Linked DNA regions of Drosophila melanogaster. The protein of the gene in region 1 interacts with the protein of each later gene in a pairwise test. Each region holds a gene or a part of one and is shown in the gene's direction. Other genes may lie near its edges. The genes, in order: SPARC, CG8841, Cpr64Ad and CG13159.

The links.
Region 2: the proteins of SPARC (region 1) and CG8841 interact in a two-hybrid assay, tested with the Drosophila melanogaster proteins (one large-scale study listed by BioGRID).
Region 3: the proteins of SPARC (region 1) and Cpr64Ad interact in a two-hybrid assay, tested with the Drosophila melanogaster proteins (one large-scale study listed by BioGRID).
Region 4: the proteins of SPARC (region 1) and CG13159 interact in a two-hybrid assay, tested with the Drosophila melanogaster proteins (one large-scale study listed by BioGRID).

The regions. Positions count from the first base shown.
Region 1 is NT_033777.3:26,868,738-26,877,479, reverse strand, and holds SPARC (secreted protein, acidic, cysteine-rich), read left to right. Parts: upstream 1-5,484; 5' UTR 5,485-5,554; intron 5,555-6,912; exon of another isoform or gene 6,913-6,970; intron 6,971-7,107; 5' UTR 7,108-7,125; coding exon 7,126-7,287; intron 7,288-7,349; coding exon 7,350-8,102; 3' UTR 8,103-8,242; downstream 8,243-8,742. Other genes in the region: ro (rough), read left to right, coding at 311-587; ms(3)K81 (male sterile (3) K81), read right to left, coding at 970-1,524; Rb97D (ribonuclear protein at 97D), read left to right, coding at 1,868-1,936, 2,077-2,306, 2,379-2,623, 2,690-3,409, 3,464-3,615.
Region 2 is NT_033778.4:12,320,794-12,330,672, reverse strand, and holds CG8841 (uncharacterized protein), read left to right. Parts: upstream 1-4,414; 5' UTR 4,415-4,527; intron 4,528-4,557; exon of another isoform or gene 4,558-4,679; 5' UTR 4,680-4,772; coding exon 4,773-6,015; intron 6,016-6,085; coding exon 6,086-7,356; 3' UTR 7,357-8,166; downstream 8,167-9,879. Other genes in the region: garz (gartenzwerg), read right to left, coding at 1-923, 983-1,209, 1,274-1,482, 1,553-2,533, 2,595-3,580, 3,636-3,834, 3,898-3,999; mIF3 (mitochondrial translation initiation factor 3), read right to left, coding at 8,571-8,961, 9,023-9,330.
Region 3 is NT_037436.4:4,211,470-4,218,381, forward strand, and holds Cpr64Ad (cuticular protein 64Ad), read left to right. Parts: upstream 1-3,909; 5' UTR 3,910-3,980; coding exon 3,981-3,995; intron 3,996-4,070; coding exon 4,071-4,799; 3' UTR 4,800-4,945; downstream 4,946-6,912. Other genes in the region: CG43367 (uncharacterized protein), read left to right, coding at 5,115-5,258, 5,322-5,709, 5,768-5,936, 6,001-6,125, 6,188-6,495, 6,553-6,833, 6,895-6,912; Cpr64Ab (cuticular protein 64Ab), read right to left, coding at 1-3; Cpr64Ac (cuticular protein 64Ac), read right to left, coding at 776-1,330, 1,393-1,404.
Region 4 is NT_033778.4:12,372,312-12,378,546, forward strand, and holds CG13159 (uncharacterized protein), read left to right. Parts: upstream 1-2,974; 5' UTR 2,975-3,057; coding exon 3,058-3,288; 3' UTR 3,289-3,367; downstream 3,368-6,235. Other genes in the region: CG13160 (uncharacterized protein), read left to right, coding at 22-196, 253-337, 499-619, 685-839, 896-1,279, 1,337-1,517, 1,574-1,758, 1,812-1,955 and 2 more; Cpr49Aa (cuticular protein 49Aa), read left to right, coding at 4,387-4,398, 4,461-4,670, 4,778-4,990; Cpr49Ab (cuticular protein 49Ab), read left to right, coding at 6,146-6,163, 6,217-6,235.

The DNA.
Region 1 (8,742 bases):
CGATTTTGATTGAGTTAAATAATATTAAATGAACATAAATTAATGGTTGATGAATAGCTCGTGAAGAGGATTTTAACTGGGTATTTATACCTGCATTTTCGAAACGGAAGTAATTTAGTGAAATGTCACTAGTTTAATTGATGGCCAACATGAAATTAACACGAAATTAATTTTACGACATTTATGCGCACACAGACCCAATTAGACGATATCATTTTTTTCCATATTTTTTTTTTTTTTTTTTTTTTTTTTTTGTGCCGGAGGGGGTTGCTCGAAATTATTTTGTACATTGATGTAATCAATTTTTCAGAAACTTTGTCGTGGCCAATGGTTTTATGAGCTCTATAATGGGTCAGGCTGCCACGACCATGCCCCCCGGAGGCGTCACTGGGGGCGTGGCGGTGGGCGTGGGCCTAAACTACTATGCCGCGGCAGCGACGCCGGCAGCGCTGCCCAAGGATAACACGCAGGATGCCAATTTCATCGACATCGATGACCAGTTCCAGCGCCAGCAACAACAAAAACAACAACAACAGCAGCAGCAGCAGCGACGTCGAGAAACAACAACGCCTATTAACATTTGCTAATACTTGCTAATTGATTACATTTATTTGAGCTTTAAACTGTTTAGATTAAGATCGAATAAAAGTCATTGTGAAAACATAACAGATTGCAGGAATTGCACTTTTCGAAGAAATCACTCACTGCTTGCCAACAAACTTACGTGTGTTGTTATGGACTCAGCATTTTGCACTTGATTTATTTATATAAGAGAGGGTTTTTGAGGGAAAACCAGGAAATTTGTTAAAAACCAAACAGCAAAACTAACAAACAATAATGCAGCCCTGGTGCTCAGCCAGCTGTTTCTGCTGCTAATAACATGGCGGAAACTATCGATAGATGGTTACATAGATGGTAACAGTGTTATTTCAAATTTAATTTATGAAAATATCCTAAATGAAACAAACATTATCCCCCAGTAGTTCCCGCCAGATAAATGGCCATAGCTTCACGATTTAGATGCACAAACTGGCGCCTTTTCGGAATTGGTTGGACATTCGGTAGCCGCGTTCCATTCACGGCATTCAAACTCAGATTCGAGCTGGGATCGTAGTCATCGGAGAAAAGTGTATCGTCGGAAGAATTGGACTCAACCAACTGGCTTCCTGCTCTTTGAGCCGCCGCCGCCGGCGCTGCGCTAGTGGTTGATTCTTGCTCCTCCGAGGATTGTGTTGTGGACACACTAGCCGCGGACTCATGAGATTTCTCACTACTGCTCCTCGAGAGAATAGCACTGGCTGCCTGTCTATTTGCCAGGTGTCTCTTCGCATTGTTGTTCTTCAGCCGGTAGAGCTGGATCAGTTGCGTGTAGCACGAGAGGCACAGTGGCTGAGACCGCAGCTCCGAGTTTATCAGCTGGCCAAACTTCAGCAGGTGCGGATTTCTGATTACGCGGTACGGGGACCTCAGCGTGTGATTCCCCAGACCGCACAAGCGGTGCTCCTCATGGGGCGAATCCGACATTAGAACTTAAGTTGAATACTCAATTGAATGCATAAAGGGGCTAGTATACGTTGGCGGTTTTCGCTTTGCTTCTGAAAAACTATATTACAATTTGACAGCTATCGCATATCCAATTCGTGTATGTATTTATTATTACGATAGTAAAGAAACTTGGCACTTTAGAAATTTCAAGAATACCCCTAACCAACTTATCGATAACAAACAGAGAGAGTGGGTGTATCGAATCAATGATTCGCTTCCTGACAGCACAATTTTCACTTCGCTTCAACCGTTCGACGTGCAAACTGGTCGTTTTCGTTTCTTAATTTCGGTTAAATTTAGTGATAATTAATTTGCTAACACAATGGTGAAGGATGAGCCCCTATCGGACGAGTCCGCCGATGTGATTGTGCTTGCAGATCGCGAGGAAGATGTAAGTACATACGCGTACCTTTCTGTGCATGTATGCGGCTTGGCAAGTGACGCACCTATATTTGTTTCCCTTCACACATACCACCCTTCACCACATGCCAACCCACTTGGCTAACCCACTTACCACCTCTGCACCGGTAGGACATATGCGAGCTGGAGCACTTGCGTAAGCTCTTCATCGGCGGGCTGGCCCCGTACACCACCGAGGAGAACCTGAAGTTGTTCTACGGCCAGTGGGGCAAGGTGGTCGATGTTGTGGTGATGCGCGATGCTGCCACCAAGAGATCTCGCGGCTTCGGCTTCATCACCTACACAAAGTCTCTCATGGTCGACAGGGCCCAGGAGAACCGTCCGCACATCATCGACGGCAAGTGAGTATAGACTTGGTGGGGGATCATATCGTACCAAGAATAGATCTATACCATGAGGCCTTTCGCTTCCAGAACTGTGGAAGCCAAGCGTGCTCTGCCCCGTCCCGAACGCGAATCGCGCGAGACCAATATATCCGTGAAGAAGCTGTTCGTAGGCGGTCTTAAGGATAACCACGATGAGGAATGCCTTCGTGAATACTTCCTCCAATTCGGGAATGTAGTCTCCGTTAAATTGCTTACTGACAAAACCACTGGCAAGCGTCGCGGCTTCGCCTTCGTCGAGTTCGACGACTACGATGCAGTGGATAAGGCTATCCGTAAGCATAAAAGCTAAAATGCTAAATATTAGATTGATATTAATTATGAACCTTCATCCCGTTTAGTTAAAAAGCAACATGCGATTAAGTACGTTCACGTGGACGTCAAGAAGTCCATTTATAACCTGGACAAGAAGGAGAAACAGCAGCCAGGTGGGCTGGCCAACGCCATCAAGCCGTCGCTCAATCAGCAGCAGCAACAGCAGGGTGGCGGACAGCAGCCACCTAATGGCAATATGCAGGCACCTAGCTTTCGACCACCAGTGCCGCCACAACAGGCCATGGGCCCCTACCAACAACAGCCACCACCGGCGCCTATGTCTGCTCCACCACCAAACTTCAACTACTGGGGACCACCTCCGCCGGCTATGCCGCCCTACTACCAGCAGCCACCGCCGCAGCAGATGAACGGCTGGGGTCCATATCCGCCGCCGCAACAAAATGGCTGGAATGCACCACCACCGCCACCACCGGGTGCCCAGCAGTGGCACGCCAACCAGTGGGGTTGTCCTCCACCAGTGCAACAGGTGCCGCCGGTTGGAGCAGTGCCACCACCCATGGGTCACAATGGACCACCGCCGACGGCTCCAGGTAACTGGAACATGCCGCCCCCAGTGCCGGGTGCAGCTCCTCCATCCCACCAGCAGCAGTCTTCGCAACAGCCAACACCACAACCAAATTTCGGCACTGGCTATCAGCAAAACTACGGAGGCGGACCATCCAAGCACAACAATATGAATGCAAACCGCATGAATCCTTACTCGGCAGGTCCGCCCAACAGCTACCGTAGGTATAATCCATTATTAAAGACATGTAATTTTGAACAGCTACTAATTGTAGACACTCCTCAACCACCAGCATATACGGGCTACAACGCTGGACCACTGCCGCCTAATGGAAGCGTTCCGCCGCCAACTGGGGCCAAGGCTGTTGGCGTATCCAATGGCTCCGTGGCCACTGGAGGCAGTGCCAACAGCAAATATCGCCGCTAGATTGGGTGAGTAGCCGTACCCGCCATTAGTCGTTTCTTTTGAATGTGGTCTATGCATAAGAGCTACCTCAAATACGTCTTGCCACGAATATATCCATATACGCATATATTACTCGCCATTGATGCACTACGTCTGAAGTACTTGTTTATGTGTAATTACTAATGTCTAAAATTCTCTTTGATTTAGATGCTCTTTGGGCGGCTAAAGCTCAAGAATCAAGACACTCTTTAGTAAGCTCGTTCATAAGCTAGGCCACACTCGCTTAGAGTTACTAAGCAGGAAACTTAACGCATTGTCTCTCTATCATAGGACAACTAACTACGATTTTACTGTACACTTAAGCTATACCATTGATTACCCTACGATTGACCTAAGCTATGGCAGACTATATATAACTATTTTATACAACGTATTGCGAGGAGCGAGCACTTCTCCAGTTCGAATTACTCTAGACATAATTATGAAACTCTGTATCGTAGAAGAATGCCCAAAATACGATACGAAATTACAACAGGCTCTCTATTTAAATCTAAACCTCTCTCTCTATCTGTAAAACAAGAAGAAGGATTGTGCAATGGTGGAGGATGGAAGAACAATTGCCAATCAAGATCAATTAATTAGACATAAATCACGGAGCTGTAGCCTGAGCTTATTGGCCCAAAACAAGTAGTTTAATCGTAGATGCCTATGTATTACCTAAACCATTCAAATAAGAAGATACGTCCAAACAAAAAAAACACAAGAAACAAGAAACAAGAATATAAGAATCCGGAGCGAAGTCGGATCCCAAATCAAATCAAATCATACGCAGGGCTGGCGGGCGTGGCCTTAACTATTAATGTACACAAGAGATGATATCAAAACAAATGTCAATTTTTACAAGAAGCAAGAATCGGACACTTATATACTGTATTAATGTTAAAGGTTTCTTATCTCGTCGCCCACGATGTTAATTCATATACTACATATATCTCTTCTTATTTGTATATCATGACGAACTCAAAGAAGTGTATATACCCGAAAAAAATGCGAAGAAAATGTATATGCTTTCGGATTAACTAGACTTACGATTTATTCTCGACTCTCTCCTATTATTAAGCTGTTGTGCACGCCAAGGGCTTTGAATTGATCTTTATATATAATGCAGTACTGAAATAAGAGAGGTCTAGTCCACAATTTGCAAGATTCGTTATGCTGCATTATCGAGATACAATTTATCACTTAACCGAACTCTATGAAAACCCATACGCATATTTATTTTAAATAAATACAAATTAAAAACAACACTATGTATTTGTTTTAGCTGACGATATGTAAGTCTCTTTCTCTTTAGCGATAGCATAAACTATATTTAGTTACCGTTATGCCATTCTAGATACAAACAAATATCGCTCTAATTTTAAACATACTCTACTCTACAAAATACTCTTGAGACAAAGTTAATTCGTAAGGTAAGTTAGTAACGGATCTCATCTAGGATAAACTAGAGTTTTTATAAGTGCTCTTAAGTTTCTAACTTATGTGTATCTTGTTATCGAATCTTTATTACGCTTTTCTAAGCAAACAACCTATTTCTTTTCCAAAAAAAAAATAAACCCCCGGAGCAACGCTGGAGTGGCCTATTTCAAAAGACCAAGGCTCAAGTTTCCCATAAACTATGAGGTACGTAGAAGAGGACACGATTTATTTTATGTGTTGAAAAGCAAGAAACCAATAAAAAAGAGCTGCCAAAATCGAAGCAATCAGTGTTTTTATTCCAAGCGAACATGTTGGGAGCCAACACGTTGGAGGCGACACCAAAACCATGGGCAGGCAGTGCTCCATGCTCCACTTTGGCGATCCGTAATCATTCCGAAGCTTTTCCACAGGCAAACAGTCGCCTGCCATCCGCCAACGCGATTAGACATTTGAAGGGAAACACTTTTTCATTGAACGCACAGTGAGTACTCACGCAGAGTGAAACAAAGGATTGAGTGTCGTAATCGGATTAACAAAACAAGTGTGTGACATATGCAGATACAGATACTTTGCTTGTTCCTCAAATTTCTGCAAGCTCAGCTCTGGCTCGAGTTGCTCAAGTTCAATGTTCCTTGCTCATTGGCAAATAGTCAATCAATTGGACTTTATTTTCGATGAAATCAGTTCGTTAATTGGTCAGAACTGAGAAGCAAAAGTAAGTCCAGTGATTTGCAAGGTCAACTGTGAATTGCACTTCCGCCAATTCAAGTAGATTGTATCTGCTTTTGGTCCACTTTCATTCGCGATGCATAAACATTGCATCTTGGACACTGCATCACGTCATTGTTTCTAGTTTCGTCGGCATAATTAAACAAACACATGTGGAAGTATATATTGCATTGTATACATAGATATATATGTGTGCAACATGTGGAATGCACTGCAGCAGCATCCCACTCTCGGATATTCCTGGAAGCTCCATTCCGCGAGATCGCGTATACATTTCTCAATTGCCAGATACATAGCTGCGCATTTGACTTGATGTTCAGCGGCACAAAAGCGACGATTAAGCACATCTTGCTTGTGCTACCCAAAACGGAAGCGACCGACCGATCCTGATAAGCGGCGGTGGGGCCAAGTCGGGCTGGAACCTGATAAGCCAACTGTGTCGTTGGGCAACCAATGATGTGCCATATATGCCATATAGCACATGTACTAAGATTGAGCATAGAACTGGGGCGACATCTTGAAATGATTACGAAAATTCGGCTTGAGTTTAGCCTGTGTGTGTGTTTAGCAATAGGATTAAGGTCAGCTTTAATCAGGTATATTCGCATTAATGGGAGCATCTGCATATATAGATGATTTCATAAACGATTTGAACTGCTCAACATGTGTTCAACATGCCCCAAATTCTGAAATATTCAAACATATTTCAAATTTGCGGTTGCAAAAAGCGAGAAAAATGCTTATTTGCAGCAGGCAGCAGGAAATGAAAAGCAAACATTGAAAATTCTGAGATTTTATCCATTCCCCCGACTTTGTTTCTATTTTAAAAACTCCAGATCTGCAGTAGTCATCTTCCGCCATCAATGAGTTGGCTTTGTTGTTCCACAAGATCTAAAGATCCATAAATAAAATTGCCCATAAAAGGAAATGCATCTGTATCTGCGCGCCACATTCGCGTTGACCTTTTGAACCCTGCAAGATTTTTGCGGCTTCTTCAATTGTTTTCAATGAGCAAAAAGACGCCGCACGAGATGTGCATGTAAAACCACCCCGTTGTTTGGTGGTTACAAGATCGCCAGTGGAGTACAGTAACGACGCAGCGCACACGGTACAGTCGCAAACCAATCCTTGAAACGGAAGTTGGGCCAGGGCCACAGCTAATCTCAATGTAATTTGGGTTTTCACAATCGCAATGACTTGATAATGTACTCTATTTATAAAGGCACTTTTAGTTCCAAATATATAGTTTAAATATAAAGAGAAGAAAAAGGTGTTTTAAAGATGCTTTACTTGCAATCCCTGTAGTTGAGATCGCCATTCGAGATGCGCTCCCTTTGGCTGCTGCTCGGCTTGGGCCTGCTGGCTGTGAGCCACGTCCAGGCCTCTACGGAGTTTTCCGAAGATCTGCTGGATGAGGACCTCGACCTGTCCGACATCGATGAGAACGAAGAGGAGTTCCTGCGCCTGCTGGAGGAGAAGAACAAGGCATGTGGCCGCAAGTCAAACCACAAATCACACTTAATGCACTAACTGAATTCCATTCGCAGATCAAGGATATTGAGCGCGAGAATGAGATTGCCACCAAGCTGGCCGAAGTGCAGCACAATCTACTCAATCCCGTTGTCGAGGTGGATCTGTGCGAAACGATGAGCTGCGGAGCCGGTCGCATCTGCCAGATGCACGACGAGAAGCCCAAATGCGTGTGCATTCCGGAGTGCCCGGAGGAGGTGGACACTCGCCGCCTGGTCTGCACCAATACCAACGAGACCTGGCCGTCGGACTGCTCTGTGTATCAGCAGCGCTGCTGGTGCGACAGCGGCGAGCCCGGCTGCACCAATCCGGACAACGCGCACATGCACATCGACTACTACGGCGCTTGCCACGAGCCCAGGAGCTGCGAGGGCGAGGACCTGAAGGACTTCCCCAGGCGCATGCGCGACTGGCTGTTCAACGTGATGCGCGACCTGGCCGAGCGCGACGAGCTGACCGAGCACTACATGCAGATGGAGCTGGAGGCGGAGACCAACAACTCGCGTCGCTGGTCGAACGCCGCCGTGTGGAAGTGGTGCGACCTGGACGGCGATACCGATCGCTCCGTCTCGCGCCACGAGCTCTTCCCCATCCGTGCTCCGCTGGTCAGTCTCGAGCACTGCATCGCACCCTTCCTCGAGTCCTGCGACTCCAACAAGGACCATCGCATCACCCTGGTGGAGTGGGGCGCCTGCCTGGAGCTGGATCCCGAGGACCTCAAGGAGCGTTGCGACGACGTCCAGCGGGCTCAGCCCCATCTTCTGGGTTAGGACACAGCCCATTTTCCATATCCACTTCTGTAGTATGCAATAGGTAGTTACTACTTGCTTCCTTAATCCGAAAAATGTCTAATTTAGCAGTTAATTGTGTAAATGCTCGCTATTCAATGAAATATATAACAACTTCTTTGAAATAATACGCATTTTGAAAAACGTCAGGTCAGTCTATTCATTATTATCTTTCGGATGAAAAGCTACAGTTGTGATATTTTGCTCTAGGCATTTACACGTTTATTGGGCTTACAAATACATTGGGTTCGAGCTGCTAAATGCCCTGATTAAAACTGAACTTTAAGCGATACTACTGCACTTTTCTCACAATTATGAAAAACTTGTACTTCTTACAGCTGAAATTAATTACCATCTATGTAGTTGCAATTCTTTACATTCATCGACACAAGCGCAAACATCTCGTCTAGTTTTTTTTTTTTTTTTTTTTTTTTTTGGAAATAACATGATTGGCGTTTTTATTATAGTTTTTTTTATTAAATTTATTCGTGTAATTACTTTGCTCTAAATTAAGTTTTGTTTTTGTTTCATACTCAACCTCGCCAAGGATGCGTGCGGGTAAATACGTTTTGTGTGTTTGTATTTTTTGTTTGTATGTATGTGAGTGTTGGGGAGATGCTAG
Region 2 (9,879 bases), on another chromosome or scaffold:
GAGCAGCTCATAGATACCAATGGAAATCTGTTTAGAAATGCGCAGCAACAAGGCTGGCTTAAGCATTAAAAGCATCTTGAGCGATTGCAATACGATCGGACACAGTTCTTCGTTTCGCATCAGATAGATAGCTAGTTTTAGGACCGCTACAATGCATCGGTTGAGTAGGTAGTCGTATCCACAGGAGGCACTGCCCATAAGCAGTAGGTACATTTGGTCTCGAACTGCTGGCCACAGCGGTATCATGCGATCCCGGTTATGAACAACTATCTTGACCAAAAATTCCATCCAGAAAACAGTTTGATCTTCGGCGTACGGCAGGCCAATGGATTTGTGCCCCTGAGGAGCCTTCAGTAGCGCTAGAACGCATTTAAGCAACTCCTGCAGCGACTCTAGTTGCACAAACTTTGATTCCTGCAGCATTTGATCCAGCTGGCACTCCTTAATGCACTTCCGTCCCAGTTTGATGAAGTCCTGCTCCTCGTACGTTGGTTCTCGCTGACCCTCCGAGCTGATAAATGAGTACAGGCTGGAAAATAGTCCCGATTCCTGCTTCTCGCGGGGCTTTTCCAGGATTAACATGGCCTTTCCGTTCGCCTCACAAAAGTCTTCCACTTCGATCAATGATTTTGGCAGCAACTTTAGACGGAAAAGCTGCAGATATAGGTCCAAAATGTGTTTCCAGCTCTCTCTTAAGCAATCGCCGTAGTCGTGAACCAATAGAAACACCGTTCGCATGGCAGCCTGAGCCTTTCCGTTCAATCCAAAGTTCACAGCTTGCTGGGTTTCATTGTTCGCCGGAGCGGGCTCATGCTGTTCTACGCTGCTCAGCAGCGTTGTGAATTTGCAGAGAGTTAAAACGAGGGCATCGAAGTCCGAATGCAGATTATAGTGCGCCGATATGGCAGCGGATTTGCTGAAACCTGAAATGTAATCGTAATGTGAGATGTGAATGGTAATTATTAGATGTTTATGTACGTACCTGCTAGAGTTCTTTGGTAGCCCGTTTCAGTGCTTTTATCAAACATAAAGCTTAGGGCGCTCAGAGAAGCACCCCACACAATATTGAAGATCTCCACGTCGTATGATGCGTCATGCACATAGTGAAAATGTCCATCGTGCGTGTCTCCTCGTCGAAGCAGTACTTTCCATTGATAATTTTCACGCACCAGACCCGTTTGCTCTGCTGGCATAACGATCTCTTCGTTCCTTAAATAATTAATAATCGGAAATATAAGCAAATGAGAGTGACGCTATATGTACTAAAGCTTACTTGATTGCATTAAAGACTTGAGCCAGCATTTCTTGATCGAAATCTTCGCCACCGTTTAGACCACGCAAATTCTTAGTGAAGTCCTCGAGCGTCATTGGAACATTTAAACGCTTCGCGTTCGAGTTGTGCTGATCCATGTTCAGCATGATGATGGCATAGGCCAAGCGAAAAGCAGCGTCTACGTTGGCAAACGGATCTTGGTTTTGTTTCTATATTGGTGGGATACATACATGATTAATATCAGAGACTGCAAGTATTTTAGTAGATGTGTATACTCACATGCCAATGATCAGAAAAGTGTTCCAGCACCAAAAAGATCAATGGAGCCTCTCCGGGCAATCTGAAGGTCTCCAGATAAAGACGCAATGCTTGATCCACTCGAAGACCAGTGAAATCAAACGAGTCCACAAAATTAATTAGAATCTTAGAGTCGACGTTTTTCTTTTTCGAGATATATTCGCCAATCATTTTTTTATCGAGCCCGGGATTTTCTCGAAGGAACAGGGCCACCTGCATGGGATCAAGCTCGGCATTTAGGATGCCGTGTTCTTGCAGATACTGGATTCCTTTCTCTGGACGCTGATTAAATCGCTCTGTGCCTTGGGATAGCAGACGCTTCTTCTGTTTGACCTTGGCCAGCTGTTCACTGGTTATTCCCACTCCCTCTCCGCCAGATTGTAGTCGTAGTCGATGTGAGCTCGCATTTATAAAGCTTGCGATGTTCTCCACTTTCTCTTCTGCAGCTACACTATTGCCAGAATCAATTACGATTCCCTCCAATCCGCTGTTGTGGCGAGAATGGCGGCTGCCACCTGTTGCTGGGGCAGCTTCTGGCAAGGACTCTCTGTTGTTGCTGCTATTCTTGCTCGCGGCACAATTTCGCTCGATACTGTCTATCACACTTAACAGGGTGTCCATTGAGATAATGTGGGTGCTATAAACTGCATTCGTTGCTGACAGCGTATACTTGCTCAGTAGGTTTGTCAAACTTTCAAACATATCCGTGCAGTACAAGTCACAATCGTAGTTGATATACAATTCCGTGACGAAGCCGGGAATGCGCCACAACTGCAGTAGATTGTCCAGAGCGAGTTCTCGCATTTCGTAGGGCGTCTTGGGATTATCGCTAGCAATAATCTCGCTCAATTTTCTAAGGTAGGCTTCCAGCTGAAACTTGAGATGTCCGCGGAGAGACTCGAAAAGCAAAAAACAGAGCTGCAAATCGGCGGCAAAGATGCTAAGCCGCTCTGAGCTGAGAAGCTGTAGGGAAAGGAAAGAGTTAGGTCAGAAATAACTAACGAAGCAATTAAGAGTCCCTTACCGATATTAAGTTTCTGCATAAGTCGTCCTTAACCAGCTCCAGCAAGCCCTCATACTTTCCAATATTATCGGCTGCGACTTCAAAAGCTACAGTAAGTAGACTAAGACCCGTGTGCATCATGCTATCCGAGTTCTGCTTATCCAGAGGATTGCAGAGGATTATGAGGAATCGGAACAACTCCTGGATGAAGGGCAGGCCATAAGGGGATAGTGATGTTACATCGTGATCGGTGGACTGCTGTGTAAAACGGACGCCCACCGAGTTGATGTACTCGCTACTATTTGCCTCGGCCAGGGTGCTGGTTGCTTCACCCGTTTCGCCGTCCAGCAAGGGCTCCGATTCAGTCGACTCCACTTGAATAACAGGAGTCTCCGGGACAGTGGTTTCATCTTCCCCCGTGCTCGCCGTTGTTGTTGGTGTCTGCGTAATCTTGCCCTGCATGTCCAATATGTTTCCCGCTGGACTGGCGGGTGTGGTGGCCAATATGGGTGCCTTCAAGTGCCCTGGCACCGTCAGGTTGGCAGACTGCGGTGTTTGAGGCGGTTCCTCCACTGCTGACGATTTCCTGGGTGCTGTCTGGGCTTGGGCAACCGTCTTACGCTTTAGTTTTTCTTGGGTAGCTCCGCTGGCAGCATCGCCGATAGTAAATCGCTTCTGGAGCATGGTGTCACTTCGCTCTTCGGCGAACTGGGGAAGGCGCATGAAGAAGAGCAGCACCATGTCCTTGAGCGATTTTTCCGCCGAGCGACGAAGCAGTTCACTCAGCCTCGGCTCGAAGGAGATCTTGAAGCAGCTGAGCATCACCTCGCACATGGACACATTGCTGACGGCGGCTCCTTCGGGACTGCGGATAAGCGTGTGCAGCACCTCAATCACTCGCATAAAGGTGACACCATCCGAGGACTGATCGGTGCCCATAAAGCGGGCATGTGTCACAGCATCGGCAATGCGCTCCACAATGTCAGCCAGATTTGGAGACGTGGGATCTGTGGATAGGTACAGAATGAGCAAATGCAGAGGGTAAGCACTAAATCATAATACCTATTAGCCCGTAAGACAATAATTTGTTAACCGAGGCCAAGGCTAGACTAGTCAACGGACCCGTGGCGTCCGCCGTGCGAATCACCTCAAGAAACGGAGCCAGGAAGACCTGAGGCTCGATCTGACGCAGGTCCTCGATCCGATTTAGCTCATGCTTGAGGTCAATGAACAGCTTCAGCAGCGAGTCATTCTCGTCGTCCTGTGGATGTGCAAAAGGGCCATATACTTTCTATTCGCAGTGAGCATTAGGGGCACTATTTACCACGTAGGCGGTGGCATTCCAACGCGTTCCACGTCGCATCGCCGTCATCAGGGTGGCCATTTCGCCCCGCACCACGTAGATGCCGTTGCCTGGAAGCGCCATGGTGTCCGCGTGTCCTCCGTTGCGGTGTCTCTACGACTGCAGCTAGTTGGCTTCCAGTTCCAGGGCTAGCGCTGAAAATTGCAGTTTTCGTGGGGCAGGGCAGCTCCTCCTCCCTTCCCGACGACCTTCGCATATGTTTTGGCACTCGCCACTTGCCCACTCGCACACTCACGCTGCCTGGACGAATCTGGGCGTGCTGCCTAGTTGGGCATCTCTCACTAATCCTAACTAATCGAACTGGTAAGCTGCTAATTTTTGGTGACGTTTACGTGTCGTTTATGTTCTTGTGTGCAGTCCGAATATTTTGCACAAGCGTCTTCCAACACCGGCGCGGCAGTTCGTCGCTTCGCAGCACTGGCACAGCTGTAGATGCCAACTCGATGCGGAAATTTCAATAGATTAAATTGAAATACAGCTGCAAGCGTATATAAAAAAAATATAACCTTGTTTTTAAAATAAAATATGTTGCCAAGCTGTCGATCAAATTGATTTAATCAAATTGATATTTGAATATGAGGGCCAAAACAGGTGAGCATAATCAGTCACGCACGCATCTTCAGTCGTGAGCGTTACACCCACCACTAAGTTACACTGGCATTTGGTGCGTAGGCGAATTTCTAATTGGAATCGTTCGATTTTTGAAAAAGAATCGCATTAAATGCAAAGCATTCCTGTTCCAGACTACTGCGCACACTTGCACTGAGGCGATCGAGCACGGGGCAGGTGGATTTACAGGACTCAGCGATACCAAAGCAGCCCACAGGCCGAACAATATGGGAAACACGGACTCCAAGTTGAACTTTCGCAAGGCGATTGTGCAGCTGACGCAGAAGAACCAGAAGATCGACCCCAGCGACGAGCAGTTCTGGGAGCAGTTCTGGCAGGGCCACCAGACGACGCTGGAGGATGTGTTCGCGCTGGTCACCTCGAGCGAGATTCGCCAGATACGGAACGAGAATCCAGCCAACCTGGCCACCTTATGCTACAAGGCGGTGGAAAAGCTTGCCCAGGCGGTAGACAGCAGTTGTCGCACGCAGGCGGAGCAGCAGTGCGTTTTGAACTGCGTGCGGCTGCTCGTCCGGTGTCTGCCGTACATTTTCGAGGACGAAAAGTGGCGCGACTTCTTCTGGAGCAGCCTGCCATCGCAGGACAAGACCATGCCGTTGGCTCAGTCACTGCTCAATGCCACCTGCGACCTTCTTTTCTGTCCCGACTTCACGGTTACGGCCACGCGGCGTGCGGGCCCCGAGAAGGCCGAGGAGTTGGCGAACATCGATAGCTGCGAGTACATTTGGGAAGCGGGCGTGGGTTTCGCCCAGTCACCGCCCCACAACGCCCACATGGAGCGCAGGCGCACGGAGTTGCTGAAGCTATTACTCACCTGCTTCTCGGAGCCCATGTACCGATCGCCGCAGCAGTCCGAGGAGCCCAACAAGTGGATAGCATATTTCACCTCGGCCGACAATCGCCATGCCCTGCCGCTGTTCACCTCGTTTCTGAACACCGTGTGCTCCTACGATCCGGTGGGCTTCGGCGTGCCCTACAATCACCTGCTGTTTGCAGACACCACAGAGCCCCTGGTGGAAGCGTGCCTTCAACTGCTCATTGTCACCTTGGATCACGATATGGTGGTGCAGCAGCAACTCACACAACCCGGACAGGCGTCCTACGACGAGGGCAATTGCGGCGACAACTTGTTCATTAACTATCTTTCGAGGGTTCACCGCGACGAGGACTTTCACTTTGTGCTCAAGGGCATAACCAGGCTGCTGAACAACCCACTGGTCCAGAACTATTTGCCCAATTCCACAAAGCGACTTCATTGCCACCAGGAGCTGCTTATTTTGTTTTGGAAAATATGCGACTACAACAAAAAGTTTCTGTATTTTGTGCTAAAGAGCTCCGATGTTCTGGACATCCTGATTCCCATTCTGTATCACCTAAACTACTCCCGAGCGGATCAATCTCGAGTGGGCTTGATGCATATTGGAGTATTCATACTGTTGCTCCTATCGGGTGAGTCATATGTCATATGTTTTGTTCGTGGAATCAGTGCACTTACACTTAAATAAATGTTTATTGATAGGTGAGCGAAACTTTGGGGTTCGGCTTAACAAAGCATACTCCGCCACGGTGCCCATGGATATACCTGTGTTTACTGGAACCCATGCGGACTTACTCATCACTGTGTTCCACAAAATAATAGCCACTGGCCACCAGAGGCTGCAGCCGCTTTTCGATTGTCTGCTGACCATTCTGGTAAATGTCTCACCATATCTGAAAACCCTCTCGATGGTGGCTAGTGTAAAGATGTTGCATCTCCTGGAGGCTTTTAGCACACCCTGGTTTCTGCTATCGGCACCCAGCAATCATCATTTGGTGTTTTTCCTGCTGGAGATCTTCAATAACATTATACAGTATCAGTTCGATGGCAACTCGAATCTAGTCTACACCATAATTCGAAAGCGTCATGTGTTCCATGCCATGGCAAATCTCCCGACCGATATGGCTGGCATAGCCAAGTGCCTGAGTGGCCGTAAAACAGGTGGAAAGTTTAACTTGCCGCGGGTACCACAGCGAAGAACGCCAGCTGTGTCCCAGGAACTGCCCTCGGCCCACGTGCCAGAAGAGTACAACGAAGAAGACGAGGATGAGGACGAGGAGGAGATAATTAATGAAGAGCCCAAGGCGGAAGAGGATCTCGAATCGGAGACAGAGTCTCATGAGCGATCTCAGGCGGGGGAGCTGCAGTCGGACGTTCTCACGGCGCAGCCAGCCGAGCCAGGAACACTGAAAACGTCCTTGTTGGACACCCCGGGCATTACTCAGATGACGGAGCGGGAGCAGGCGCATCCAAATGACAAGCCTCAGGTGGAGGATTCTACAGACATTGTGCCCTACGACAGATCAGCCGCTTCGACGCCAACTGACGAACGCAAGTCCACCTCACCCACGGAATTGTCCCGCTTGTCGGTGGCCCACAGGGCCAGCATTCGCATGGTGCCTGGCGAGAGCGATCGTTGGACGCCCACGCCCGAGTGGATCGTCTCCTGGCGCTCCAAGCTGCCGCTGCAGACCATCATGCGACTGCTTCAGGTCCTAGTGCCCCAGGTGGAGAAGATCTGCATTGACAAAGGACTGACCGACGAGTCGGAGATCCTCAAGTTTCTGCAACACGGAACGTTAGTGGGACTGCTCCCAGTGCCGCATCCCATTCTCATCCGAAAGTACCAGGCCAATGCGGGCACAACGGCATGGTTCCGCACCTACATCTGGGGTGTCATCTACCTGCGCAACGTGGAGCCTGCCATCTGGTACGATACGGAGGTCAAGCTCTTCGAGATTCAGCGCGTCTAGGTCAGTAAGTGGACTCCCAGCTACACCAGCAGCGCAATCGTAGCTTACACGCTTTGGCATTTACTGTAGTTAATTTATTTAGTACATATTTCATTCCAAATGTTTTTGTGAAGAATCAGTGTGTAATGAACTACCTTTCCCACAATTTTGCTTATTGGCAACAAAAAAAATGAGGCTTATCAGTTACGATGTGGCATTGAGATCCATTCAACAGATTTGTTATCGGCTTTTAGCATTGATATTTAATTGCTTTCCTAATTTGTTTTGAAGAGTGTTCTAAAAAACAGTATAAGCACAAAGTGTTTTTATTTTAGTTAATGACTAAATTATTAAACAACTCATGTTTTTGTAATCTGTGACAGAAAATGTTCCTTGTGCCGTATATTTTATTGCATGGTTTTATTTATTTTATATTTTAATAATTTAAAAATTTCCTGTTTTTACTTATGTATGTATTTAAGGTGCAAATACCAAGAATAAATTACTTTCACTCAGCCACTCTACAAACGATTCGCTTTATCCAAACAAATTTGTAACTGCACCTATTGACACCATAAAAAGCTTTACGTTCTCTTGTAATGATTAGGAAACTTTAGTTGAGTCCAATGAACTGCTTTGTAAACTTAATTAAATATAGACATTAATGATAGAATTGAGAAAGTGTATTAATTTACTGTCTACGTGTGCTTATAAACTATATACACAAACTAAACTTATGACACCTATACAAGTCAGTTTATATAAATCATTTACGAAATATAGAGCAGAACCCAAGATAAGTAATAAATAATAAATAAATTTCATAAAACGAATTGAATCTTGTATTTTAATTTATAAGAATGGCCAAATATAGAGCCAAATGACAGTTACTAAAAAGCAGTTTCATATCAATCGATTTTACATTCTTGTAGGTTGCGTTCACGGTGGAGAGAAAGGACTTCATCCTTTCTTTTACGCTTCTTCAGTCGTTCTGCTTGCTCTCGATCCTCCAATAGTTTGACCAAATGCTGATGCCAGTAGAAGTATTTGAAGAAAAACAATAGAAGCAGCACCGAAGTGGTGACAATGGATGCGGTTGTGATCTCTACGGGCTTTTCGCCTTCCTCTTCCACCCGCTCCGAGAAATGGCGGGTGGATATTCTAAGGCCGAAGTTTTGTTTGCTTGCCGCAACATTGGGCCGATCCATGAGCACCGAAGGCAGCAGCGGTAGTTGTCACGACTGGATTGTATTGGAAGTGGCAGTGGATGCGGGCACTGGTGGCGGAGCTACTGGAATAATCGAGAATTTGATAAACGCGCTCTTGCTGCGCCTTTGCACTATTCTGCCAATTAGTTGTGGTTCCTTAATGGTCTGTTCGATGGCCTTTACTATGCGCTCGGCGCTGCTCTCGTCCGATCCACTGGCATTGCCCTGGATAAGGATGCGAACCTCGTGTCGCTTGCCCAGCCACTTCACAATGTTCTTGAGTCTGGAGGAGAGATCGTGCTCTGTGATGCGCGCACCAATGGTAAGGGATTTCTCCGTTTTCTTATCCTTAACTTTTTCGCTCGCTGATCTCGACTGCTCCGCATCATCCGACAGCATTTCAGCAGCTGTGACTAGTCTGCAAAGTATAGCAACTTCATAACAATGACCAGGCCCCGATGATAACCATATATACCCACTTGAACATGGCTCTTCCTGTTTTAGCATCTGTTTGCTCCAATCGCAACAGGTGCAGATCCCGTCGCTTGGCCAGCTTTTGGGCCTCCTCCAAAGTGGTTATGCTAATTGACTGGTTCTGTTGGATCAGGGTGATCTTCTGGACACTTGCCTTTAGACTCCGTGTATCCCTCGTTCTACTGTCTCCTGGGCTTCCACCCACCGGCTTTTGGTGCTGCGCCAAACTCCAGTAAACGGTCAAGGGACGCAGGTGTTGCTGCTGAATCGCTGCTGCGGCAGCATGATTAAACATTAATCTTATGCGTTGCATGCTTCTCTTTCAAATATATTTTTGTATATCTCTTGGTTATTTTCGATTTTCTTTTGCTTGTGCAATTTTTTTGTCTCAGAGTTGTCAGGTTATGTGAAGCAGTCTGTTTTAACAGCTGTTCCGGCAGGTAAGTACCAGCTGACGGCTGGAGTTATCGATAATTCAAGCCGCCAATAACACCCAAGTTAAAAAGAATTAAGTGTAGTATGTTTATTCTTCAGAATGAAAAATCAGTCGGGTAATATGATACAACAACCAGGATCAGCAGGCTCATAAAAATTTCTTCAAAATATGAAATGTTTTTCCTCAGAAAACCGATAGAGACATAGAAAACCGATTGCTCGCATGAATTCTAAAATTTTGTTTTTGTATTTTGTTTTTTGGTTTTCGTTCTTGGGTATTTTAGAAGCCGAGCTTTGAAATCGACTTCAGTTCCTAAGAGAGACATCACGATGAAACTACAAGTAAGTAAAGTGTTCTGCTAAAAAATATTCAACTATAAAGTGTTTTTTATCCTTTAGTTCCTCCTGTTTGCCTTGTTGGTTTGCT
Region 3 (6,912 bases), on another chromosome or scaffold:
CATGACTAGATTTGCTGGTGGATAGTGGTTTTCCAATGGTGCTTTGTGCTTGACAATGCTGTCGGAACTGTCTTGGATTGCCATTGGATCGGGGTTATAAAGGGCCTCCACATTTCCGCGATAACATGCGCCGTGTGGCAACCGCTGCCAAAAACGATTCCATTTGCTGACGTAATGGCCCGTTTTTGTGCCTGGTCCACCTGCAAAAAGTTTCCCCCATGGACGTGCCATCCAATGGCCCAACTTGCACAATTCTCCCCTCCATTGAAGCCCCACCAATATGAATTGTGATAACCGTAAATATAGTTGGCACTACGTGATCGGAATCTAAGATTGGGAGCTTTAACTCGAAGCTCGGGACCTACCCCAATGTTTAACTGGGTTAAGCAGGGGAATGTGGAGCATTCCTAGAAATATTTCAACTTTTCGAATATCACTTCCAACCGATCAGTTCCATCGAACAACTAATAACAATTCATTCAATCTTTTTTTTTGTACCGAAACTTTTATTCAGTAAATGCAGTTACTAATTCACTAAGTGGCCGATAGCCGTTCCCCAGATCCCCAGAACGGTATCCCTAAACGTAGTCTATGGTGGCGATCCTTCGATCGGAGATTGGGAATGTGGGTCAACAGCGGGGTGGCAACAGCACGCACGTCCTTGTGTTTCGGGTTTTGACTGACAGAAAAGTGGGTAAATGCATTAGAACTATTTAACAACGGTCCTACAACTAGGCCATGGAGTTTGTCATCGCTTGGTCCACCGGTTCATCGCCTAGTGGTATCCACCCAGACTCAGACCAGGCGCCGAAGCGTATCCAATCTTGGTGATGGCGGGAACGGCGGCGACGGCAAGAGCTGGCTTGGCAATGGCCACCGCGGCCACGCCCTTCTTCTCCACGACCGCATTGAATCCGTTGACCTTGTCGGCGGTGTAGGTGACCTTGCGAATAGTGCCATCGGGTTCGGCCAGGGAGTAGCTGCCGTGGACGACTCCGTTGACCAGGGTCTCCTCCTGCTGCTTGGAGTCACCGGTGTGATGATCGGTTACTCCGTACGAGAAGCTGTACTGCGGATTGGGATCGTAGGGCTCGGCAACAGCCACCTTGGCCACAGCGACGGGGGCAGCCAGGACCTTGGGAGCATAGGAGATGGCAGGAGCGGCATACGAGATGGCAGGAGCCGCCAGGAGTTTGGGAGCAGCATAGGAAATGGCAGGAGCAGCAAGCAACTTGGGAGCCGCATAGGTGAGTCCAGGGGCCGAAAGTCCATAGGGATCAATGGGAATGGCCACAACGGCGGACAGGATCAGTCCCAAAACGAACAGAGTCTGGCGAGGAATTCCATGATCAGTTGAGCCAACTAAAAGCTGCACTCCTTTGGCCAACTCACCTGGGCAATCATGGCGAAGGATGTGAGAATGAGGGAGCTCTGGTTTGGATGTGTCTGCACTGCGAGAACTCAGCTCAAATGTGAGATGCATTTTCCGCGTGGTCTTCAGTTTTATATTCGAAACTGGCGGCAGCTGCCAGCGGAAAAAAAAACTGGACAATCTAATGGGCAGAGTGACAATTGCGTCTCATTTGGTGGCTGCCCGATCTCGATCTCGATCTTGCACCCCAGACCTCATCGCTGATGGCGGATTTCGTGTTTCTGGTGCGGATTTCATCATTGGTGCTGGCTTTTCTCAATGGAATAACTGCAGCCGCCGCTGCCGAGGCACACCACTCACCGAAGTCCATTTGAGTCCGTTCAAGAGCGCCGCTCCAAGATACCCAGCTAGTCAGCTACCAGCAACACCAGACTCGTTTTCCGCTGACTCGCTGGCCGATCTGGTTTCATTTTTTCGCCGTTTTTTGGCACATTCTCAGGTTCTCCAGCCAAAATTTGTCTGATGTAATAAGTGCCTCATATTGTGGCAGTTTCAGTTGCAGTTGCCACAAGAACAGTGACAGTGCTTTTTTAGCGATTGTAGGTACCCTTTCAAGAAAAATCTTTAATATCATCAAAGACCTAATGAAAATATGTATTTACTCTCAATTTTCTGAAAATGTATGAAACCAAGATTACAATTGGATATGTAAACACTCATTTGGCGAACATACTTCAATCAATATTTGAATATGTAATTGAAATGCCTGCTGTTAAGTTATGCCGATTATCACTCACACGCCATGTTGTCCAAACGCAAGCAAATTTCGCTTGGTTTGCGTGACGTGCGAGTAATCTTCATAGTAACATACATGTCCAATGTGCCCACCCAAAGTGCAGGGTATAAAAACAAGATCAATCGTTCGCAGCCACTCGTTTAATTAGAAAACGAAAATGGCAAGTTTCGACGGCTTGGTGGAGGGAATGGAATTGGGCGGGACGCAGGCGCAATTACGCACTGGCACACGCATTAACCCCTCGACGATCCGATTTCCACCTGACCAACTGGACCAGCGCCCACATTGCTGAGCCCGGTCACTTAGCCACCGTAATTGCCTCGATCGGGCCAAAAAGCATTTAGCCGGCATTTGGAAGCTCTAACCGCGGCGACCTTGCTCACAATTGGCAGCTAAGTGGCTGTGGTTAGTATTTCATCCACTTTTAATTAATTCTCATCTCAGAGCAGAGTCAAGCGATTGGGCAAGGAACTGCATAAATGGCAGTGGAGCATTCCATTCGCTTTGGCCAAATTGGACGACTGTATATCCATGCTGGTTTCCGGTGGCGACAATCTACGCCGACAACCGTTAGTCAGCTACCACAACCCGACGAGTAATACCACCATTTGGTGCCAACTTTTGGGGCTCTCTCCGCTTCTCCGGATCGCTCAGCGTCTCTCCGAGGTGAATCCGCAGCCAACGAGTCGCAAGGTCGTTGGTTGCATTTAGGAAAAGAGTCACGAACTCAAAACCAGCCACCAGTTACAGCACGAAATCGATGGGGAATCTTTAATCAACCATGGAGTTAGGCAAATTCCAAAAGACCAGAGATTCTTGTTGTTACTGAAGATATTTGTTAGGAAAGCATGTTAAATTTAAAATAAGATTTATCCTTTTCAGCAAAGTCGTTTAGGGGAGGAACTAAAAATCTCCTTATGGAAACATAAACCAAATGCATGGCCATTTATTAGAATAATATCAATATAATTGATGTATCAAATGTTGATAATCTTTCAATAGATTTACAATAGTAATATATGGGTATATAGTATATATATTAGTCTAATCGATATTACTGGGCCACATTGACCCAGTTTCACCTTGTTAAGTGAAACCGAACCCCTTGTGAAAACCCTTATTATGTATAAGTGGTAACTCATTAGCATAAGTAATTGATACCCAATAAGGTGTATAAGAAACTTTCCAATTTATTTGAGACAACCAATTCAAGTAGTACATCAAAATCAGGATCATTACACTCTAAAGATACTTTTTTATCCCAGAGATATATTAATATTAAGTTTTTGAGCTTGAACCCTTGTCAACTCGACGTCATTATGGTAACTTAATTATAAGTTTCGCGCTTTTGGTGTAAAGGAAAATTAAAAGCACTGTCATTGGATGGAACCTGCATGACAATTACCGAAAACTACTGCTCCGAAATATAATCAAATCGCATTCACTTTCGATCCGAACAAGGCAAAAACAGTGGCAAATAAAAATGAAAACTTGGTGTAGCCACCGCAAGACGACTGAAAATTGGAGTACGTGCTGCGAATTTGGATCAAAGCCCGAGACGCAGACGCAGCCAAATGCTGGGTAGGAAGAGGCGGCCCCAAAAAGCGGCGATGGTGATGATGCGGGGGGCAAGGAGCTCGGACAATGGGCTACCATACGCAATTGGTACGCAGTTCCCTCCACGGAGCACCGCATGCAAATTTCGCGAACGCATCTGGGTATAAAAGTCGTGGTTTTTTTGTCCAAGGTATGTCAGTTCATTTTCGATAACCGACGGTGACAATCGCACTAAACCCCCACCCAAGCCTTACAATGAATCCTCTGACGGTAAGTGTTGGTGATGGCTTCGGTGAACCCGTCAGGTCAGGAGACTAAACTGGACTCCATGCATTTTCCTCACAGGTTGTTGCAGTCCTTTCCTCGATGGCCCTCTCGGCTCAGGCTGGTCTGGTTGGCGCTCCTCTGGCCGCCGCTCCTCTGGGTGCTCCTCTGGCTTACTCCGCCCCTCTGGGACCTGCTCCATACTTCGCCCCGGCTGCGTACTCCGCCCCTCTGGGCTACGCGGCTCCTTTGGGATACAACGCCCCTCTGGTGGCGGGACCTGCTCCCCTGGTGTCCAAGACCTACGCTGCCGCTCCTTTCGCCGCTCCCTTCGCTGCTCCAGTTGCCCCAGTTGCTGCTCGCCTGGCTGCCCCAGTCGCCGCTCCTCTCGCTGCCCCAGTTGCTCCAGTAGCCGCTCCCCTGGCTGCTCCAGTTGCTGCTCCCCTGGCTGCTCCAGTTGCTGCTCCCATCGCCACCGAGATCGTGGATGCCCACCCACAGTACAAGTTCGCCTACGATGTCCAGGATACGCTAACCGGTGACTCCAAGACCCAGGAGGAGACTCGTGATGGTGATGTCGTCCGTGGATCCTACTCTCTGATCGAGCCCGATGGTTCCCGTCGTATTGTCAGCTACTACGCCGACTCCATCAACGGTTTCAACGCAGTGGTGCAGAAGGATGTGCCCGTGGCTGTTGCCCCAGTGGCTCCAGTTTTGGCCAAGACCGTGGCTGCTCCAGTGGCTCCAGTTGTGGCTGCTGCCCCCGCTCCAGTCTTCGCCAAGACCCTGGCCGCTCCCATCGTCGCCTAAGTAGAAGGAGGAGAAGTAGGAGTCGTAAAGGAAGTATTGACCGCAATTCGACAAAGGACTTTCATCTGTACATATTCGATTAATCATTGTCGAGCTATTGAATAACTTTCATCGCAAAAACCCAAAATTAAAGAAATTCTGAAAACAAAAGATTGTAGTTTATTGTTTAAAGGCATCCTGGATTACGAGAGTGATATCATATAGAGGCTTAAGAAAATTATTTAAGTATTTTAGCTTTAATATTTATAGGTAATATTTATATGTATCATTCTTTATATTTTAAGGATTACACTTAAAACTTGGTGTTCTTTTTAGGGAAGTGGATGAAGAGTTCTGGAAGCTTTCGCAACATGAGAACGTGGCCAGGATGCGTCTGAAATTGGAGCCTCAGTTATATCCAAATAAACACGAGAATGCCGCCAATCTGCGCGACAATGCGACCAGTGCCTACGACACCAAGTAAGCCCAGCCAGTCCTTAGTAGTGTCCTTCATAATCTGATTTTCAATATCCTTTATCTTAGGGAAATCTCTGAATTTGACTCCACCATCAAGAATGCCGTGGTGCGCGATTTCCTGGCGGATGACGAAAGTTCCCAGCTGGAGGAGGAACTACGTCAACTGATCGACACGCAAGCGCAACAGGATGTGGCGCTGGAGAAGCTAGTCATGTCACAGGACTGTGAGCTGATCACGCTGATGACCAAGGTGAAGGGACGCATTGAGGTTAACCAGAGCGTGTTCACCTTTGTGGACTTGAGCCCGCCAACAGAGGATGGTTCCAAATACGATTTCAGGTTCTCCACCAACAAGATACGTGAGGTTCATCTGCGAAAGTACAATCTGCGCAGGAGTGCTTTGGAAATCTTCCTGGTGGATCAGACTAGCTACTTCCTCAACTTTACGACGAAGGTGAGTTTTTTTTTTGTAAATAAAATGTGATCATTGCAAATGTTCTTATTTCTTTAAGACTCGAAATAAAGTTTTCACAAAAATCGTGGGTCTACCGCTTCCAAACATACTCTACGGCTCGGGAAGATCGCCGGCTGAGCTGCTTAGGGCCTCGGGACTCACACAGAGATGGATCAATCGTGAGATTTCCAACTTTGAATACTTGATGTACCTAAACACAATCGCAGGTAAGCAAATAACATCTGATTATTACATACATTTTTATCAAACTAACGTATTTTACATAACTAGGTCGATCCTACAATGATCTAAGCCAATACCCCGTCTTCCCCTGGATCCTTGCTGATTACACCAGTGACGTGCTGGATCTTACCGATCCAAAATCGTTCCGTGACCTATCCAAACCCATTGGATGCGTAAGTATTACTGAAAATAGAAAAAGGTGATCAGTTACATGACAAACGCATTTCTACCGCAGATAAATCCTAAAAACGAGGCCGAAGTGCGCGGCAAATATGATTCATTCGAGGACCCCTCTGGTGCCATACCAAAGTTTCACTACGGAACCCACTACTCCAACTCGGCCGGCGTGCTCCACTATTTGCTTCGCGTCGAACCGTTCACCTCGCTGCACATTGATCTGCAGAGCGGTCGTTTCGATGTGGCCGATCGACAATTCCACTCGATACCTCAGACGTGGAAGTTGCTAATGGACAATCCCAATGACGTGAAGGAGCTGATCCCCGAGTTCTTTTACTTCCCAGAATTCCTTAAGAACATGAATAAGTAATGCATGTGGTTTTTTACTTTTACTTAGTTAGCCTAATGTTATTTTATGTGCAGATTTGATTTGGGCCACTTACAAATAACCAAAGAAAAGGTGGACGATGTCATATTGCCTGCTTGGGCTACCACGCCGGAGGAGTTCATAGCCATACACCGACGGGCTTTGGAATCGGAGTATGTCAGTCAGCATCTGCACCACTGGATTGATCTGATCTTTGGGTATAAGCAAAAGGGACCCAAGGCAGCTGAGGCTCTAAACGTTTTCTATTATTGCTCCTATGAAGGCGCTGTGGATTTGGACAAGATCACCAACCCTGTAGAACGGGAGGCGGTTGAAGGTGGCTTACACCAAGACTTTTTTTTTTGCTATTTTTATTGACATCCATTCATTTATATTAGGAATGATTAATAACTTTG
Region 4 (6,235 bases), on another chromosome or scaffold:
TTCAATAACTATTGTCCACAGGTGCCGGAGATGATGCTGCCATGGTTGTCGTAATGCTGGAGGTACTGCGTCTGGTCGCCGTTTCAGGGGATCCCTTCCTGCATCCGATTATATTCCTTTTCAATGGTGCCGAAGAGCAGCCAATGCAGGGATCACATGGTTTCATCACGCAGCACAGATGGGCTGCCAACTGCAAGTGAGTTTGAGTCTCAGGCGGAGATCACCGGAATCTCTAATCCGCTATCCAAACAGGGCTCTACTGAACTTGGATTCCGCTGGCGCTGGTGGACGTGATTTGCTCTTCCAGGGCGGTCCCAATCATCCCTGGCTGATGGAGGTAAGTTCCCCTGTTTGTGGAGCTAAAAACCCCCCGAAAGTCGGCAACGCCATTGGTGATTCATATATTTGGGAATGCTCTGATCGCATTTCCGATATGGGGGCTGCTATATCACCCGTCTGGCTGCTGATCAATTAATCTAATCTTCCGCCTTATCTTAGCATTACAGAAACAGTGCCCCGCACCCGTTCGCCACCACAACGGCCGAGGAGATGTTCGAGGCTGGTATCATACCATCGGATACTGATTTCCGGATCTTTCGGGACTTTGGAGTTGTGCCAGGTGGGAATCTCGGCGCAAGAAAATATCCTTTTCAACCACACTACTCAGGAGCTCTTCTCTTTCAGGCTTGGACATGGCCGGCGTGTACAATGGATTCGTTTATCACACGAAATTCGATCGCTACGCGGTGATAAGTCTCGATTCCCTGCAGAATTCCGGCGACAATTTACTGGCCTTGGTATGGAGTATTTCGAATGCCGAAGAAATGTACGACACAGAGGTGGGTTTCCTCTTTCGAGTGGCTTTTGTCCATTTTTCATGGTAATCTTTCAACAGGCACACGCGGCGGGACATGCAGTATTCTTCGACTTTATTGGACTGTTCTTTGTCCATTACCAGGAGTCGACTAGCTTGGCCCTGAATCTCTTCTTCTCGTTCGGTGCCATTTTGCTGGTCTGCATCTCGTTGTGGCGAATGTCCCGGGTTACTGGACAGACTATGGGCACCTATGCCGGCGTCTTTGGACTCCTATTCCTGCTAGCCCTAGCTGGTGCTCTCCTCGCCGTGGCCTTTCCTCTGCTGATGGCCACCTTTTATGATTGGGGAAATAGAACGTTGACCTATTTTAGCAACAGTTGGCTGGTCATTGGGTTGTACATTTGTCCATCGGTTATTGGCCTTGTACTGCCCATGACCCTCTACTTGACGCATACGAAGTGTGTAAGTAGTATCACTTGTTAACGAAGTTATTTTGTTATACTAAGCTATCCTCTGCAGAACAAGATCCCCCATACTTATTACTTGCATATTGTGGGTCACGCGAACTGTGTCCTTTTGGCCATCTTGTGTTTGGGTGCAACGGCTCTTAAATACCGTAGTGCCTATCTATTTCTGATCTCTCTCATTTTCTACGTTGCTGCTCTGATCATTAACCTACTGACCCGTCTCCATTGTCGCGGTAAGTTAGCTTATATATTCGTGGAGAACTTTTAATGATTCATGCCAACACTTTAGGTTATCTGTGGTCACTGGTGCTGATTGTTTTCCAGATTATACCCTTCATTTACCACGCCTACTTGTTCCACATGTTCATACTTATTCTCATTCCGATGACTGGTCGCTTTGGCGTCTCCACCAATCCGGATATACTAATCGGCGCTCTATGTGGTTTTGGCACAATTTTGGCGTTATCTTTTGCTGTAAGAAAGTTATTCACATTTATTGACTACTTTACTTAATCAGTTTCACTTAGGCTCCTTTAATCAATGTCTTTCGGCGACCGAACTGCATGCTGGGTGGTCTGGCACTGGTTATGTTTATTTTCTGCATGATTGCCGTCTCGGATGTCGGATTCCCGTATCGGCCCAAAACAAATGTCATGCGTGCCGACTTCATGGTAAGGGAAACACTAATAAGCATCCTTTGAAAGACGACTAAGTTCTATTCTTTGTCGGAGCAGCAAGTGCATCGCAAATTTTTCGAGTACAATGGTTCCATCAGCCACGAGGATTCTGGCTACTACTTCCATCTGGGGGATCGAAACAAAGAGGCACCTCTGCGCGATCACATGAACCTGACCAACCTGGTACGCCTGGGCGAGGATTGCGACTCCGAGCTGATGTGCGGTATTCCCTGCTACCGATATTGTAGTGCCCGGGAGCATGCACTTTGGCTTGCTCGAGAGGAGCCCGTGGAACTGCCTTATCCAACGGTCTTGGAGTTCCTTAGCAAGACAGTTCTGTCCGGTGGCTATCAGGTGCGCTATGAGTTCCGGCTAACTGGTCCGCCAAATATGGGTCTGTTCTTCAAGCCACTGGATGGTGTAAAACTACTCCGATGGACGTTTGCTCCCGCAATGCTGGATAATCCGGCCACTTACAGGCCTCCTCTGGAGGTCATGTTAACCTACGGTATTGATAACACTCCCATCGAATTCTTCGTGGAACTTTCTGTGCGTATTTAATGGGTCGTTCTGATAACTATACTAACTAACTGATTCTTAGAAGGACGATGGCAACTTCAATGAACCCGTCTTTGAGATGGGCGTCTCTGGACACTATGTCAGTCCACATGATAAGCGGGATGCGTTGAGCCTGGAGTTCCTTGCCACACTTCCGGACTTTGCCTTCTCGATGGAGTGGCCCAGTAGCTACGAACGGCATATATTCTAGGATAGTTAGCTAATAAGAATACCAAGTCATTGACACTCCCAACCCGAAAAACTTTTATTTTTCGGAAAATGGAAGGGGATCAAACATTGGATGCATTTCACAATGAGTTGGTCGGTAAACATTGGTGGGGGAAAGCTAGCAATGTAGCAAACGGTAAAGGAACCATTTGTGCAAACATTACAGGGAATACTACGACTGCCGCAGTCAAAATATGGGTATAAATAGTGAGGCCTGGACCAGCGAAAGACACACTCAGAGTTCAGCAGCTCGTCCGTCGATAAGCAACAGCCAGCCAGCAATCCTAAAAGCCCAAAAAATCCAATCAACATGAAGTTCTTCGCTGTCCTCGTCTGTTTCTCCGCTGTCCTGGCCATCGCAATGGCATCTACCGCAACTACAACCAGCACTCCCACAACGCCCTCTTCGCCCACGACGACGACGTACACCTATACTACCACCCCGACCTACCCCACCTACACCTACACCACGGACACCACCACCACTAAGCCAATCAAGCAACAGCTCCTGTCCCTGCTGTTCAACAAGAAGTCCGGATAGAGCCGCCCATCCGATCCACGATGCTGCCACTTGATACGATCCTCATCACCTGAATAGCCAAATAAAAACACCAAATACCAAAAAACAAACAAGCGCCGTCTCTTGCTCTCACACAATACCGCAATCGAAGTTAACCATCTCACGTAGCATTGGGCGGTGGGACATTTGGGGCTTTACTTCCACCTCCACCTCCATTTCTACTTCGGCGGTAACTGACATTTGCTCAACTGGCAACGGAACGCCCCGGCTCAGGCATTACCGCCTTTTGGCCGGACCTGTTCAAGAAACATCTGTTCGGCTGCCGCAAAGGTCAAGCGGCACTTGCCACATTCAGTTAGCTGGTGAGTAAGTCAGTTGGCCAGCCAGACATGATCATGGTCAGGTGGCAGTCATAATCCCGCCAATGATGATCATCAAGCCGTTGAGTCAAATGTCTAATGACTGCACTGACAAATTGATGTAGGAATGCAGCAGTCTGTCCCTATTCCTCTCACGCTGCCGAGGATGAGTTATGAATGTCAAGCTGGTCATGTTCAACACGATCCGAGATGATCATAGTGCCTCCAACGCCCCTCGCAATACAGGTGCACAGTGGGCGATGGCTAGCTAGGATAGTTTCTATTGCAGCAAGCAATTGAAGATGCAACTGTGCTGATGATAACTTCCAGCATAACAACTTAATGTTGTGAGATATTATACTAAACTATATTTTTCTTTGCTCTAATGATAAAGTAGAGTCCCCACTGTGGCTGTCATGTAGACAACTCATTCGACAAATTGCAGCATATCGGATGGGTCGTGCACTTGTAGGTGGATTCGATTCGATTCGGTCCGGTCCGGTTCGGTTCATTTGCGCTCCATGGGAGATGGTATTGGCCTCCGACAAGAGCCACCTAAAAGAGGCTTCCGATCGGCGGGTCTTCAAAATGCTAGGCGTTCACTCTTTAATCTCCAACTGCAATAGTGTCTGTGTGCAAAAGTTCAAGCGATTTGGTATAAATATGCAAAGAGTCGCCTCTGTTGACCACAGTAACGGATCGAGACGAACTCGGAGCAGACGACCAGGACCCAGGATCACAGGATACAGCTCGGTTCGACATGCAATACACAGTAAGATGGAAGAGATCAACTTGGGTATACTCCATGCTGATATCGCATCCGCGTGCTTTCAGCTGCTCTTCATAGCAGCCCTGCTGCTCAGCTTGGCCCAGGCCAGACCACAAGTGAGAGGCCAAGCGCCGGGAGAACCCATTCCAATTATCAGACAGGAGCAGGAGGTCAACTTCGACGGCTCCTACAAGTATCTGTACGAGACGGGCAACGGCATCAACGCCGAGGAGGAGGGCTACCTCAAGAATCCAGGCACCGATAATGCCGGCCAGGTGGGTGTAGGAGAACTCCATTCACAGTCGTGCCTGGCATTTGCCGGCTACCAGTTGGCCAAACGAAACGAGCACTAACTTGCATTTGCCCTTTTACCGCTCCAAAGGTCGCACAGGGCTCCTTCTCGTACACCTCACCCGAGGGCATTCCGATTCGGATAACCTATCTGGCGGACGAGAATGGCTTCCAGCCGCAGGGCGACCACCTGCCCACGCCGCCACCCATCCCGCCTGCAATCCAGAAGGCATTGGCCTACTTGGCCACCGCTCCGCCGCCGCCACAAGAGCAGCCCGGCGGGTTCAACAACCGACGTGGTTAGGTAATCACATCGACTTCTACAATCGAATTACCTGGTTCTACTCAATTACAAAACGTGTGCGAATGAACAATAAAACTGGCCATACAACAACAAATGCAGAGTGGATTTTCAATGATTAGCAAATGATTTAGCTGTGGAATTTAATACTGACTTTAGTAGACTTAATCAAGTGGCAGATATGCAATCAAACGATGACGTCTTGCGATCTAATGACTAATGATGTATTGATTTCCAATTTACTTTTGCGTTTGGATCGATTTCTTATGCGATTGTAAATATATTGGAAATAACCCGTATTCAGATAAGATTTAACTCACTTGGGTCCAATTCCTTGACCTTACCCTCGTGAATCAAAATATGTACTGAATATTCTGATTTTATGGGCTAGGCGCGTGTGGTCGGGAAAACCTTATTCATACTTGTTCTTTAATGAGGGGGATGGTAAAACAGCCTGATTTTTCTAGATAAGATTTGCAAAGACTTAAGTTCAACTGAACCTGAAGAAAGTAAACCAAATAAATGCGTTAGAATACATGCATAACTTTTCCATAGATTTTCATTTTCGATGTATAATATTGGCCAATCTAATCATGCTTGTGATTAATATTATATTAAATGGATATCATTAAACTCATAGTAGACTTAATCGATAATAATTTCATTAGCTAGTGCGGCACTCTATTCCAAATGGAAAGATCTTTATCCATTCAGTCAGCTTTAATGATCATTACAGGGCACGCAATATTATGTTGCCTAGTTTCAGGCATTTGGCATAAATGAAGTTGAAGCGGCTTGGAATTGTATTATCTTTTCAAGAAACGTGGACAACGTCCGAATATCGTGGTAGTACCTCCAAGAAGTTTCAACAGCCGGCTGTTCCAGGTGGAGAACGCTGCAATGCATCTCCATTGAATCGTTTCTATCGCTGAGCCATCAGATCGGAAAGCAGCCTTCCAACAAATTATGAATTAATCGCCCCGTAAACCAAGACGCTTAATTGATCAAGTCACCGGTCGGATCAGTTGCAATTAGACACAGCAATCCACTCGTAGTGGATGCTGGATGCTGCTTAGATATGTGGGCGTATGGGGGTGCATCCGAAAGATATAAAGCTGGGGGCCGACGGCTAGATCTTTTCATTGCTCATCTTCGACGATGTGGCTGCGCGTAGCGGTGAGTTTGACTTACCTCAGATACCTCAAAATTTAATATGCATTCCCATGCAGATCGTTCTAGTTATAGCCC